Linked DNA regions of Cricetulus griseus. The protein of the gene in region 2 purifies or fractionates together with the protein of the main gene of each other region. This does not show direct contact. Links are inferred from orthologs where the notes say so. Each region holds a gene or a part of one and is shown on either strand. Other genes may lie near its edges.

What was found.
Region 1: the proteins of Eng (region 2) and Tgfbr1 purify together in Homo sapiens (affinity purification with western blotting; 5 studies listed by BioGRID and IntAct, with this or other methods). This does not show direct contact. The link is inferred for Cricetulus griseus from reciprocal best matches to the Homo sapiens genes ENG and TGFBR1.
Region 3: the proteins of Eng (region 2) and Acvrl1 purify together in Homo sapiens (affinity purification with western blotting; 3 studies listed by BioGRID and IntAct, with this or other methods). This does not show direct contact. The link is inferred for Cricetulus griseus from reciprocal best matches to the Homo sapiens genes ENG and ACVRL1.

Annotation. Positions count from the first base shown.
Region 1 is NC_048595.1:96,063,521-96,067,805, reverse strand, and holds the start of Tgfbr1 (TGF-beta receptor type-1), read left to right. Parts: upstream 1-1,450; 5' UTR 1,451-1,461; coding exon 1,462-1,693; intron 1,694-4,285. UniProt on the Homo sapiens protein: Transmembrane serine/threonine kinase forming with the TGF-beta type II serine/threonine kinase receptor, TGFBR2, the non-promiscuous receptor for the TGF-beta cytokines TGFB1, TGFB2 and TGFB3.
Region 2 is NC_048599.1:144,389,446-144,393,072, forward strand, and holds part of Eng (endoglin), read left to right. Parts: intron 1-957; coding exon 958-1,153; intron 1,154-1,981; coding exon 1,982-2,147; intron 2,148-2,566; coding exon 2,567-2,693; intron 2,694-3,137; coding exon 3,138-3,312; intron 3,313-3,488; coding exon 3,489-3,627. UniProt on the Homo sapiens protein: Vascular endothelium glycoprotein that plays an important role in the regulation of angiogenesis. Required for normal structure and integrity of adult vasculature. Regulates the migration of vascular endothelial cells.
Region 3 is NC_048595.1:397,567,914-397,572,040, reverse strand, and holds the start of Acvrl1 (serine/threonine-protein kinase receptor R3), read right to left. Parts: upstream 2,836-4,127; 5' UTR 2,720-2,835; intron 1,276-2,719; 5' UTR 1,219-1,275; intron 1-1,218. UniProt on the Homo sapiens protein: Type I receptor for TGF-beta family ligands BMP9/GDF2 and BMP10 and important regulator of normal blood vessel development. On ligand binding, forms a receptor complex consisting of two type II and two type I transmembrane serine/threonine kinases.

The DNA of each region.
Region 1 (4,285 bases), on a different chromosome or scaffold from region 2:
TATTTGTAGGGTACTTGCATAGGTCTTTGGGGTGGGAGTGAGGTGGGGGCAGGCACTGGAGATTTCGGGTGTGCCAAGGCCCTCTAAGCCTCCCAGAGCCTATTGCATTTGAAGTTGACCAGTCTTTGCTGCCTCACTGCACTTGAGCCGGGCAAGCTGGGGGCTGATGATTCTGGAGCCCCAGAGAGCAGGCCCTGAGAGCCAGCCTGTTCAGGCTCTGGCAGGTGGAGGACTTGCTCAAGCATGCCCCAGCTGCAGCCAAGGAGGAGTCTCAGACCCCATCTCTAACCCCCACGGTTTCCCTTCATAGCAGGATCAAACTCTTGGAGAGTGACTCTAAAGCAATTTACCAATCGATACCAAAGGCCGGCTGATTCCTACTACCGAGCTTTATTTAATTACGAGTTCAAATCACACAGAAAATAAAATTTTCTCCTTAAAAGGTTCTGCGGAAAAATGCTGCCGGTGCCATGCGGCCGCCTCCGTGGCTGTGTTTGTGTCTGAAGAAAGGACTAGTCTGACAGGAAGAATTACAAATCTGGAGCTCATTTTGGCGTCCCAGAGGGAAGGTGGGTGGAGCGTCTCACAGTAAATTAGGAATTCAGAATGAAAGCGGAGCTGAGTTTATTTGGGTTTTTAGTGACACCTCGAAATTATTACACAGGCGTGTCGGAGACAGCTCAAAGTACCTTCGACTGCTCCCGCTTCGCCCCGGGGCGGGATGCTCGGCAGGGCAATCCCCCCTCCTTCGAAACCCGTGGGACTCTCGGCTTCCCTGCGGGGTCAGGAAGGGTGGGAGGGAAGGAGGGCGGCTGGGATCCCCGGTCTGGGTCTGTTATGCTGCTGAGAGGCAGAAGGCCAATCGGGGGTGTGTCTGAGCTCCACCTTGGGTATCCGAATCTGGGATCCGACTTTGGGACTGGAATTTGAGGAGGGGGCGACAAGGTCTGGGGCGGACGTAGAGAGCAGGAAGAAATCAGGTTATCTTTCGGGGAGGCTGGAAGTTGAGGTGTGAGTCTAGGGAAGGGAAGTTGAACTGCGGACGGTACTGAAGGACTGAGTGTCGAGAGTTGGGCTTTGCTGTGTAGGGTGGTGCAGGGGAAGTCAGGGTGGGGTTGGGGTAGAAGAAAAGAGCGAGCAACGGTCACAGTCTTTCCCTGAGCAACTCGCACAGGCACACTCTGCGCTTAGCCGGGACTTGCGGGCTCCGTCTCGCGCGCTGGCTGGACCCTGCCCCCACCCGCCGGTAGACCGCGAGTCGCCCCGCTGTGGCTGGAGTAGGGGCTCCCAGCTGTGCGGGGGCGTGGTCAGAGGCCCAGCAGTGCGGAGGCGTGGTCAGAGGCAGAAGCCGGCGGCCGCTTATTGGCCACCCAGAGGCCCCGCGGGCGGGGCTGTCGACTGGGTCCCTCTAGGGCGCTCTCGGGCGGCGGGGAGGCGGGGTCGGCGGGAGCCGGCCAGCCAATGGGCGCGCGTCCCTCGAGCAGTTACAAAGGGCCGGAGCGAGGCCGCGGCGGCGGCGGGGAGGTGGGGCGAGGCGAGGCGAGGCTTGCTGAGGAGAAGCTGCGGCCGGGGCCGGGCCGGGCCACAAACGGTGGCGGCGGGACCATGGAGGCGGCGGCTGCTGCTCCGCGTCGCCGGCTGCTTCTCATCTTGTTGGTGGCGGCGGCGGCGACGCTGCTACCGGGGACGAAGGGTGAGCGGCAGGCGGGCGGGCGGGCGGCTGCGGGGCGCGCGGGCCGGGCCCGGCCTCTGGCTGGCTTCTGCTCTTTCTCAAACATGGCGCGGGGCCGGGGGCGCAGGTGGCGGCGCCGGCCGGCCCGGGCTTTCCTGACCCGGCAGGGCCACGCGAGCCGAGGCGGGGAGGAGAGGCGGGCGGGGGCGGTGTCAGGCGCGGGTGGCCGAGCGCCGGGAGGCCGGCCCTCTTAGGCTCCCCGGGGGCAGCGACGGGCTAGCCTGCGGAGGTCGGGGGCTGCCCTTAGGGGCGCAAGGCTGGCCGGGACGGTGGCCCCGGTGGCCCTTCCCAAGTGCGCCGGGGCCTGGGGCTGCTGGGGCGTGGGCGGGCACCGGAGTGGAGGCGCTCGGGGGCTCGGAGCGTGGAGGGCTCCCCCGGGGGTCGTAAGGGGCGCCGGGGGCTGAGACCCCGGTTGGGCGGTTCTGTCGTGAGTGTCGGCACCCGCCAAGGGAGACTCTTCTTCCACCGGGGGCTTTGTGTGAGAAGCAGGCGCGAAGATGCGCGGAATGTTCTCCTTTCCTGCGTCTAGGAATAGTTCAGAGTCCAGTAATCAGAAGGCTCCGGGTTGTCTTGGTTGTAGAAACTTGAACGTTTGTTCACTCCAGGTTTGGGAACGTTTTAATGGGATTGATCCTGTAGAAATGGCCGAATGCTTCATTTTCTCGAAGGAATCGTTGTTTTGGATATATCGTTTCCTTAAGTGAAGGTAGTTTTAGATCAGACATCTGTAGCTGGGTTTGGGGGGGGGGAAGGTGTTGTGTCACCCCGTGGAGGGAAGAGTGAAAAACTTTACTCTTTGTTAGTAACCAAATTAAAACAGGAGAAAACAAAATACCGAGGCTCAGCATTAGCAACGAAAATGCAGTGAAAATGCATTTCTGTTGCTGAAATTGGATAACAAAATTTTTTAAAAAGCAAAAGCCGAAAAAAGTCCCTCAGGACTGTGGGTGCCGGCTATTATTAAACTTGATAGTCATTACTTATTAGGAGTCGATTTTAATGCATATACAAAAGGTACACCATAGTACAGTATCTGAGACCTGTAACTTAACTATCAGGGCTATCTGTATATTGACATGAAAACTAAGGTGCAAGAGATTTAACGTCTTACTAAGTGTAGAAGTTAGGATTTGTGTTTAGGTCTTTCAGAGTTCAAAATCGGGGCACCTGCTACACCAAAGTAGCATAGCCCAGGTAAAGAACAGTTGATATTTAATTCTTACAACTTAGGTGTCTTTCTTTATTTACTTGACCCATTCACATAGTATACAGTGGGTTTTAACATTGGCTTAGGAAGGAAGATAACTGTGGGCAAAGTGGGAGAATCGTTATAATTATGCATCAAATTTAAGTGGCCATTATTCTACACAGTTATTTGACTAAAGTAATTCATTCTTTTCTACCTAGGACAAAGCAGGACACATTCATATATTTAGCAGTATTGATTTGGATGCTGAGAAGGTTGGTCCATGCCCTGGAGGAGTTTATCTCCTACTTAGGCAATTGTGTAGTACAAAACTGGCCTAGATGCTTTTATTACTCAAAGCCTACACTAACACTTAATAAACTTTTCCCATTTGCTACCCTCATTTCTCAAGAAATTGTATGTAACCTTGAATATATAGATGTAGAAAGCAGGTATATAAGTCAAACATACTGATAATAGATCATAAATAAAATTATTTTAAAAATAATTCATTGGCACATACAGTTTACTACTGTTTATTAGAGATTAAAGCAAATTCTCATTGTAATGAAGTGGGTGAGTTTATTTTTACATAGAGAATTAAATCATCCAATGCCACCTCACATAATTGCATATGTTTAGAGCCATTTCAGAAATTGTTGTGTCTTAATCACCAGATGAAATTATTTTAACAGTTTTTAAAATGAAACTTAACAACTTAAACAGTTTTTCAAATCAAACATTCTAACTCAATACAATTAAGGATACACCCCTTTGATACACATGGGGAATGAAAGTCTTTTGTAGTTAATCAAGTTTCTGAAAAAGTAGAAAATTTTGTATGTACAATAAAAACATTAAAATTCGTAAAATAGGGGCTGGAGAGATGGCTCAGTGGTTAAGAGCACCTTCTGACTGCTCTTCCAGAGAACTTGGGTTCAATTCCCAACACCCACTTGGCAGCTAACAACTGTCTGTAACTCCTGTTCCAGAGTACCTGACACACTCATGCAGATATACATGCAGTCACAACACCAATGCACATAAGTACAAATATTTTTTAAAGCCTCATAAAATAATAGTCCAGACTCTGTTGGCATTGCATAGCATGACAACATGTGTGTTCAGAACTAAGGCTGCAGTGAAGTTGCATCATGCAACACAAACATGCACCTCCAGAAACATCTCAGAGTCATTGCTCATTTGATTTTGACTTACTTTTGGGTGTTGTGTATTCAGAAGCCCTTTATTGTTGCCAGAGTTGTTGTGACCCCCCCCCCACCTCTATATGCAGTTATGACTCCGTTTAAGAAGCAAGAAGCTATGGCCAACCTGGCATAGTGGTCCACACCTTTAATCTCAGCACT
Region 2 (3,627 bases):
TTCCTCTAAACCCTTCTCTCCCTTGGATCACCTCCTCCTGGAAGTCTTCCTTTCTTAACTCACCAGAGCCCAAGGGTCACAGATCCACCCAGATCCCCCATCCTCAGCTGTCCAGAGGACTTGTCTTGGTTCTCATTTCTTTTTAAATTTTATTTTATTTTATTTTATGTGTCTGGGTGTTTCGTGTGCATGTGTGTCTGTGCATCACACATGGTTCTTTGTGCCTGCCGAGGCCAGGAAAGTGTTGAGTTACTTAGGACTGTAGTTACAGATGGTAACTGAATTGAACCTGGGTCTTGTGGAAGAGCAGTCAGGGTTCTTAAACCCTGAACCATCTCTCTAGCACCTCCCTTTTTGTTGTTATTGTTGCTGCTACTTATTAAATAAGACTCTCTGCCTTCTATTACTTCAAATAATGATGTCTATCTAGTTTCTGAATGGTGAGATTTCCAGGGCAGGTATCACTCCATCTGTCTTTCAACCATTCATTACTTTTCATGCCTGTCTTCTTTCCCTTCCATCTCCCCCTTCTCCACGCATTGGGAGCACCTACCATGTGGCAGGTGTCAAGGTGCAACTAGTACAACAGGATTCCAATGAGCAAAGACTTGGTGCCTGCAAGGTGTCAAATGCTGTGTGAGGATGGGCACTGAGATTCCCCTCACACACCCTCGGAGTGTGGAGGGTCCCAGACAGCTACAGGAAGCCATTATAAATGAGTGCCTGGTGGTGAGGGTGAAGCTGGAAGAGATGAACAAACAAATGAGTGCCTCTCTGTAGCTCTTGTGTGCAGAGGGAAGATGGGACAGAGATGGGAACCTCTGGGCCAGCTGATGACCTTTGAGTCTTGTCACTCTTGGTTCTGACCTTTTCTCTGCCAATTGACTGAGCTGACTCCCCAAACTAGGGACCTCCACGGTCAGGTCAGCAGGGACTCAGCACTCTGTGTCTCCACAGGACCCCAACCTGATCACCCTTACAGAGAAACCGGAAGTCAGCACCACAGTGCTGCCTCCCACAGAAGCCAGTGCCACGCTACCATCGTCCCCCACCTCCAGGAAGCAGATCCTTGACTGGGCAGCCAAAAAGAGTGCTGTCACCTCGATGGCAACACTGGTTGACCCCAAAAGCATCGTCCTCCGGCTGGGCCAAGGTCAGCTTCCTTAGTTGCCTCTGGACTCAGGTTCAATTGCAGAAGAAACTGAGAAACTCCAGCCCACGGTGGCACATGCGTTGTCCAAAGTCACACATGGCTGGACGGTACCTTTTGAAGCTAGTGAGAAACGCCAAGTTTTCTTCTTGACCTTGAAAATCTCAGCACAAGGGGCTAGAGATGGGGCTCAGTTAGTAGAGTGGTGGTACGTTAGTAAGCCCTGGATCCCACCTCCAGTGATACAGACTGAATACGGTGGCTCAGATCTGGAATCCCAACACTCAGGAGGTGGAGACAGGAGAATAAGGAATCCAAGGTCATCCTCTGTGACATAGCCAGTTCAAGGCTAGCCTGGGCTACATGAGACCGTGTCTTTAAAGGAGAGGGCTCCGTGTGTAATGACTGCCACATAAGCATGAGCACCTAAATTGGGACCTGCCACCCCCATGTGTAAAGCTGTCATGGTGATATACACATCTAACCCCAAAACTGATATATACATGTAACCCCAAAACTGGGGAGGCAGAGACAGGAGGGTCCCTGGGGCTTGCTGGCCAGCCAATCTAGGCAAATCAGTGAGCTCCATTGAGAAAATATGGAGAACAATTAAGGGAAATACCTGATTGCTGATGTGCCAGGTGGGGGGTGAGGGGACTATACCCTTGACATGTGCCATGGACTCAGTCATATGTTAATCCTATGTTAAGGCCGGGCACTTAGCAGGTAAGTCTTCTGTAGTCCTCCCATCTGTGAGGTCCTGTCCTGAATGTCCCCACAACTGCCTCAGGCTGAGTGGGGTAGGGTTCTCTGATATGCTTGTCTCCACAGCCCCAAAGGCACCACCCTACTGCTTGGCAGAGGCCCATCAGGACATGGCCCCCATCCTTGAATGGCAACCTCAAGGCCCCACTCCAGTCCAAGGCTGCTCCTTGGAAGATGTGACTGGCCACAAGGAGGCATATATTCTGAGGATCCTGCCAGGTTCTGGAGCCAGGTAAGGGTGCTGGCCTCCTGGGCGGGGCCCTTCCCAGTCAATCAGATCTTATCCTCCTGGCATAGCAGTTACTTTTCTACTGCTAGGATACAACACCATGGCCAAGGTAGTGTGTACAGAGTTTATTTGGCCTTTGGTTCCAGAGGGTCAGAGTTCATGGTGGCAGAATGGATGTCTCCAGAAGCTGAGAGCTCTCACCCTGAACCACAAACAGACAGCACACACAAAGCCCACCCCAGGTGTCCTACATTCTCCAACAAGGCCCACCTACACCTTCCCAAACAGGATCATCAACTGGGAACCAAATATTCAAGTGCCCAAGATTTATATGTGACGTCTTATTCAAGCCAACACACCAGGTGTGTCCCCACACTCAAGCCTACACTCTATCTGCACTGACACTTCTTTACCTGCTGCAGGCACCGCACAGTGACCGTAAATGTGGAACTGAGTTGTGAATCTGGGGATCCCGATGCCATTCTCATCCTGCAGGGTCCTCCATATGTGTCCTGGTTCATCAATGCCAACCACAACATGCAGTTATGGGTGAGCCTTGCACCCCCACCTCAGCCTGAGACCTGTGATCATTCTACCTCAACTTGTTTTTTCGGTTTTTTGTTTGTTTGTTTTGATTTTTTGAGACAAGGTTTCTCTGTGTAGCCTTGTCTGCCTTGGAACTCTCTCTGTAGACCAGGCTGGCCTTGAACTCATAGAGATCCTGCCTCTGCCTCCCGAGTGCTGGGATTAAGGGCAAGCGCCACCATCACTGGCCCACCCTAACTTTCTGTCTCTAATACCTGTTTTCCTTCCGTTGTTAATTTAGAGGCCCTTTCCTCCAGGAAGCTTTTCATAATGGGCCAAGGAGTTCCTTAACCTAGGCTTCTGGGTGAAGGACAAAGGGAAAAAAGGGGATGAGGGGATGGGTGGCCAGGCAGGGGGGCAGAGGAATCACCACAGCTGACGGCCCCTGCTAACCTTTCCTGCCTTCAGACCACAGGTGAATACTCCATCAAGATCTTTCCAGAAAAGAGCATCAAAGGCTTTGTGCTTCCAGACACACCCCAAGGCCTGGTAGGGGAGGCCCGAAAACTCAACGCCAGCATTGTAGCATCCTTTGTAGAGCTGCCCCTGGCCAGTGATGTCTCACTGAGGGCCTCTAGCTGCGGTGAGCCCCAGCCCCATGACCCTGTCCTCTCTTCTCCCAGATTACTTGCCACACTGTTCTTTGAGCTTGTGCCAGTTTCTCAGCCTCACTGGCCTCATCAGCCACATAAGGACAATGATCTCAGCCCATAGTGAGCACTCAGTGACTGTCCACTCTACCCACCTCTGGCCCCACAGGTCGTGTGCCACAGACCTCACCTGCACCAGTTGTGACCACACCTCCCAAGGACAGGTGCAACTCTGGGCTACTCATGTCCCTGATCCAGCCGAAGTGTGGCAATGACATCATGACTCTGGAACTCAGTAAAAAACATGT
Region 3 (4,127 bases), on a different chromosome or scaffold from region 2:
GTGTGGATGGACATGGGTCACAGAGGGAAGGGATTCTTACTTCCTTTAGGTGCCTCCCCATCTCTGTGGGAAGAAAGAGTAACACAAGACCAGGGACTTGGTGACTCTGCGGCATGAGGGTAAACATGGGTGTGAGAGAAAATGTTCAGTTCTAAACAGCAGCATAGGTGAAGGATGGCAGTAATGTAGAAGTCACTCCTGGTCCAGCCCTGGGAATGTGATGGCACTAACCAAGTCCCATCTCAGGTTAAGCATGGGGTGGGGCGGTAATCTGTGTCTTATTGTTCTCTTTTACTTCTTAGCAAAATTGCACGAAAGCTCTCCTGCGGACACAAGCATTGCTGCTGTTGGCCAGAAATCACAAATGTTAGATGACTTTTAAACATTAACTTAACACCGGGAAACAACAGCAGGCAAACTGTTCTGAGTTCTCACTCTGTGCCAGGCACTGAGCTTTAGTGGTTTGTCTCTTCGGATACTCACAACACTCCTACAGGAGTGCTGAATATGACTGGGTAAATGTAAGTTGTCAACAGCAAATCCTTCCTCATCCATTGCTATTCCTCTATTTGTCTGGACTTAGGTGAGCCCCAGGACAAAGGTATCCTAGGTCTCAGCAGACATTAGCAATATGTCCCCCTGGTGTCATTGACTGATGCCCTCCTCAGGTCTCATTGCACAGTGTTGTAGTTGCCCAGAAACTATCTGTCCATTACCAGTGTTTGAGGCTCAGGTGAGACCCAAGAAGAGTGTGCCTGGATGGTGGCTGTCAATCTTTTTCCTGCTTCCACAGCATCAGGGCTTTTCATACTGACTGTCCAAGGTAGAACAGTGCTGTGATAAACTGAACTATCTTCCACACTCAACACTCACTGGGCCTTACAGATGCAGCCATTCACCTGCATTTCCTATTAACTCTGTAGTGGTGGGATATCACAGAACAAGCTTAGGTTTGAGGGTCTTAGGCATCTGCAAAGTGGCACAGTGCAATGGTCCCCTCATCTGAGGTAATGCATCCCCAAAGCACACTGAGTATATGAAGCTACCGACAGAGCCAAACTGCATGTCCTGTTCCTCTCTACTTATAACATACCTATACTAAAGTTTAACTTGCATAGTAGGCACAGAAGACATTAACATTAATAAGAAAATACAACAACCACAACAGTATGTTTTAGCAAGGAACTTTGTCTCTCTACTTAAAGGAAGCACCTTTACCTTCTTCTCCTTGGTGTATCTGGACCGCCAGCACCACTGCACTTGCACTTTGGGCCACTGTTAAGTGAAATAAAGGTTACTTGAGCATAAGCACAGAGATACACAGTCAGCCTGACAGCCCTGACAGCTACTAGGTGACTAATAGGCAGGTAACATATACAGCATGGATACAGAGATGAAGAAGATGAGATTGGGCAAGGTAACAGGAGATTTTAACTGCACTCTGGAGACGGTATGGATTTAAATCTTTAAAGTCCCCTTGTTTCTGGAAGATTCCATGAACTATTTCCACACCACAGTTGATTGTAAGCGACTGAAATCCCCCACAGGGAAACTGCAGACAGGGGAGACTCCTATGGAGTACAGGGGTCAACATACCAGCTCTAACCAAGTCACGTCTCTACTACCAACAGCTATGGGATTGGGGCAGGAAGGGTGACATTTCCTAGGTAAATGTAGAAGAGTTACTTGGTAGTGTATTAAGTGGCACAAAAGATGCACTTAGTGTTACTAAAAGCTCAACTATATCCAGGTGTGGTGGCACACACCAGCACTCAGAGGCCTCCCGAGGCAGGAGAATCGAGAATCTGAACCCAGTTCTGTCTCAAAAAGAATAACCAAGCCATGATGTCTCCCGGCGTCATTGACCAAAGCTTGGAGTGGGCCTCTCTCCTACAAGCAGGGCACAATGATCTCCCATCTGATAGATTGTGTGAGAAAAACCACACACTACATAGAAGATAACTGAGAAGACAGGTAGGGGCACAAACAGAAGTGAGGGGTGGGAGAGGACAGACCCCGAGGACAGATGGAGTAGTAAAGGGTCAGGGAGGACTGGCCCTGACTCTTAACTCTGAGGCTAGTCATAAACAGAGGAATGTGTCCCCTGAGCAAGGCCTAAGAATGCAGCCAGCCTGAGCAGTTCTCTTTCTCCAGGACAGACTGAGCAGTCCTCTTTCTCCAGGACAGACTGATAGCCTGGGACACTCACGGCAGGAGAATTCTGTGACCTTCTAGGGCTAGAGGTAAGATTTAGGATATGGCCTTGTAATGACAAGTTCCTTAAGCAAGAGCTGGTCTGGGAAACTCGGGCTCTATGAGGAGTTTTAACAACATGGAAAGTCACTCCCAGGTTAACCCAGCACCCTGGAGGGATGTGGGAGCTCCGTAGTGGGGAAGAATCCTTTGACCTATTTTATTTTCACAGATACGCATAGAAGAGAGAGTTAAGTGAATGAATAGGGACTGGAGAAGAGAAGCTAAAGGCCTCAGGACACCTAGCAAGAGTAAAAGTTATCCATTCCACATCCGGATTCGTCCAGCTCCCTTCCATTCTCAGGTGGCATAACAGGCAGGTATGTGTCCACACCAGGGGGCTGCTGGCTCTCTTGTCCAGCTAAAACTGACCCCTCAACGCAAGGATCTCAGAGATCTCTGAAGGAAAAGTCCACTGAGACTAGGGACAGGTCGCCCCGCTCGGTCCAACGCGACCTCCACTCACCTTTGGATGGGGCAACGGGACCCCCGCCTATCCTCCCCGGAGGCGGCCGGGGTCTCGCGTTCAGAGCCGGCCTGGGACCGGGGAAGAGCTCGATCCGCGCGGCTGGCGCGGCGGCCTCCCGGGACTGGGAAGGGGCTGGAGCAAAAATGTTTCTTATTCTAGCTTCTTCCTGCCTGGCCCGACTCCACCACTCCCTCCTAATAGTCCGTTTCCTATTGCCCAGCACGCCTCCCGGTCGCAGGGCCTGGCGCTTCAGAGGGCTGCAGACCCCAGTGCGGCCGCCCCAGCCCCCCCCCCAAGGGACTGGCCTCGAACCCGGGCCTTGGGGGTCTCGTGGGTCCTGGGAAGGGAGGCATGACCCTGGGGCCCTGAGAGGGGATAAGGGTAGCACGCACCCAGAGTCAGAAATCTGGATTCCTGGCTCAGGAGGGAGCGGCGTGGGCACCGCTGAGAGGGACGAGCACAAGGTATCAGCCAAGGTACCTGTCCTCATCTTCCTCACTCCAGGTTCTCGGGGTGTCTAAGGAACAGTGCAGTGAGAGCTGAGTTTGGGCTGGGAGGGTCTGGTCAGAAGTTGGCTCCGCCCTTTGGGACTCCCCAGTTGTCTTAAATCTTTCTGCCTCCAAGCTCCAGCCCCTTCACCCTTAGTACTTGTCCCCTTCCCTCCTCTGCAGTCCTGTCCATCAATGTTCATCCTAGGGCTAAATTGGTCTGGATTGGTCCAGATAGGTCGGTTCTGAGTCAGTCTGATCCGAGCCCCTCAGGGCATGGCAGTTGCCCTCTCCTTGAGGAGAGGTCAAACCAAAGGATGCAGGGGTGGGGGTGGGCGACCACCAGATGGGCTTTAGAATTTAGGGGATGGAGCCTCCAGAGGCTGGGACATGCAGCTGGGGAATGGGGCAGAAGGGCTAGCACCGTGTGGTGATGACGACAGTCTTCCTCCTGACCCCACTGTACAGACTGGGAGTGTGAGTGAAGGCACACTGGGAGTGTGCCTTCCTTGGCAGGACCTGAGTTTTATTCTTAGCCTTGTGAGTATTCACACTGACTCTGAAGTACATCCACCAACTGGGACTCCAGGATAGTTGTGACCCTCGTTACTTTTCCAGGTCTTCAGTCCCATGTGTTAATGAGCATGGTACACAGAGGACCATCTTACAAACAGAAGAAGATGGTGCCTATCTTAGTTCCTCAGTCCGAGCCTCTGGCAGAAATAGAGGCTGGGGGAGACAATGGCCAGCTGCTCAGACTGATGTCACTTCTTCTGCTGACACCCCCCCCACACACACACACATACACTGCCGCAGCTTCTTGAATGGCGAGTCTCCTGAATTTCCAGAACCCCAGCACAACTGAAGTTTAGCATCAGAACAGACTGTCGTGGAGCCAATAGGAATACCACGAGATT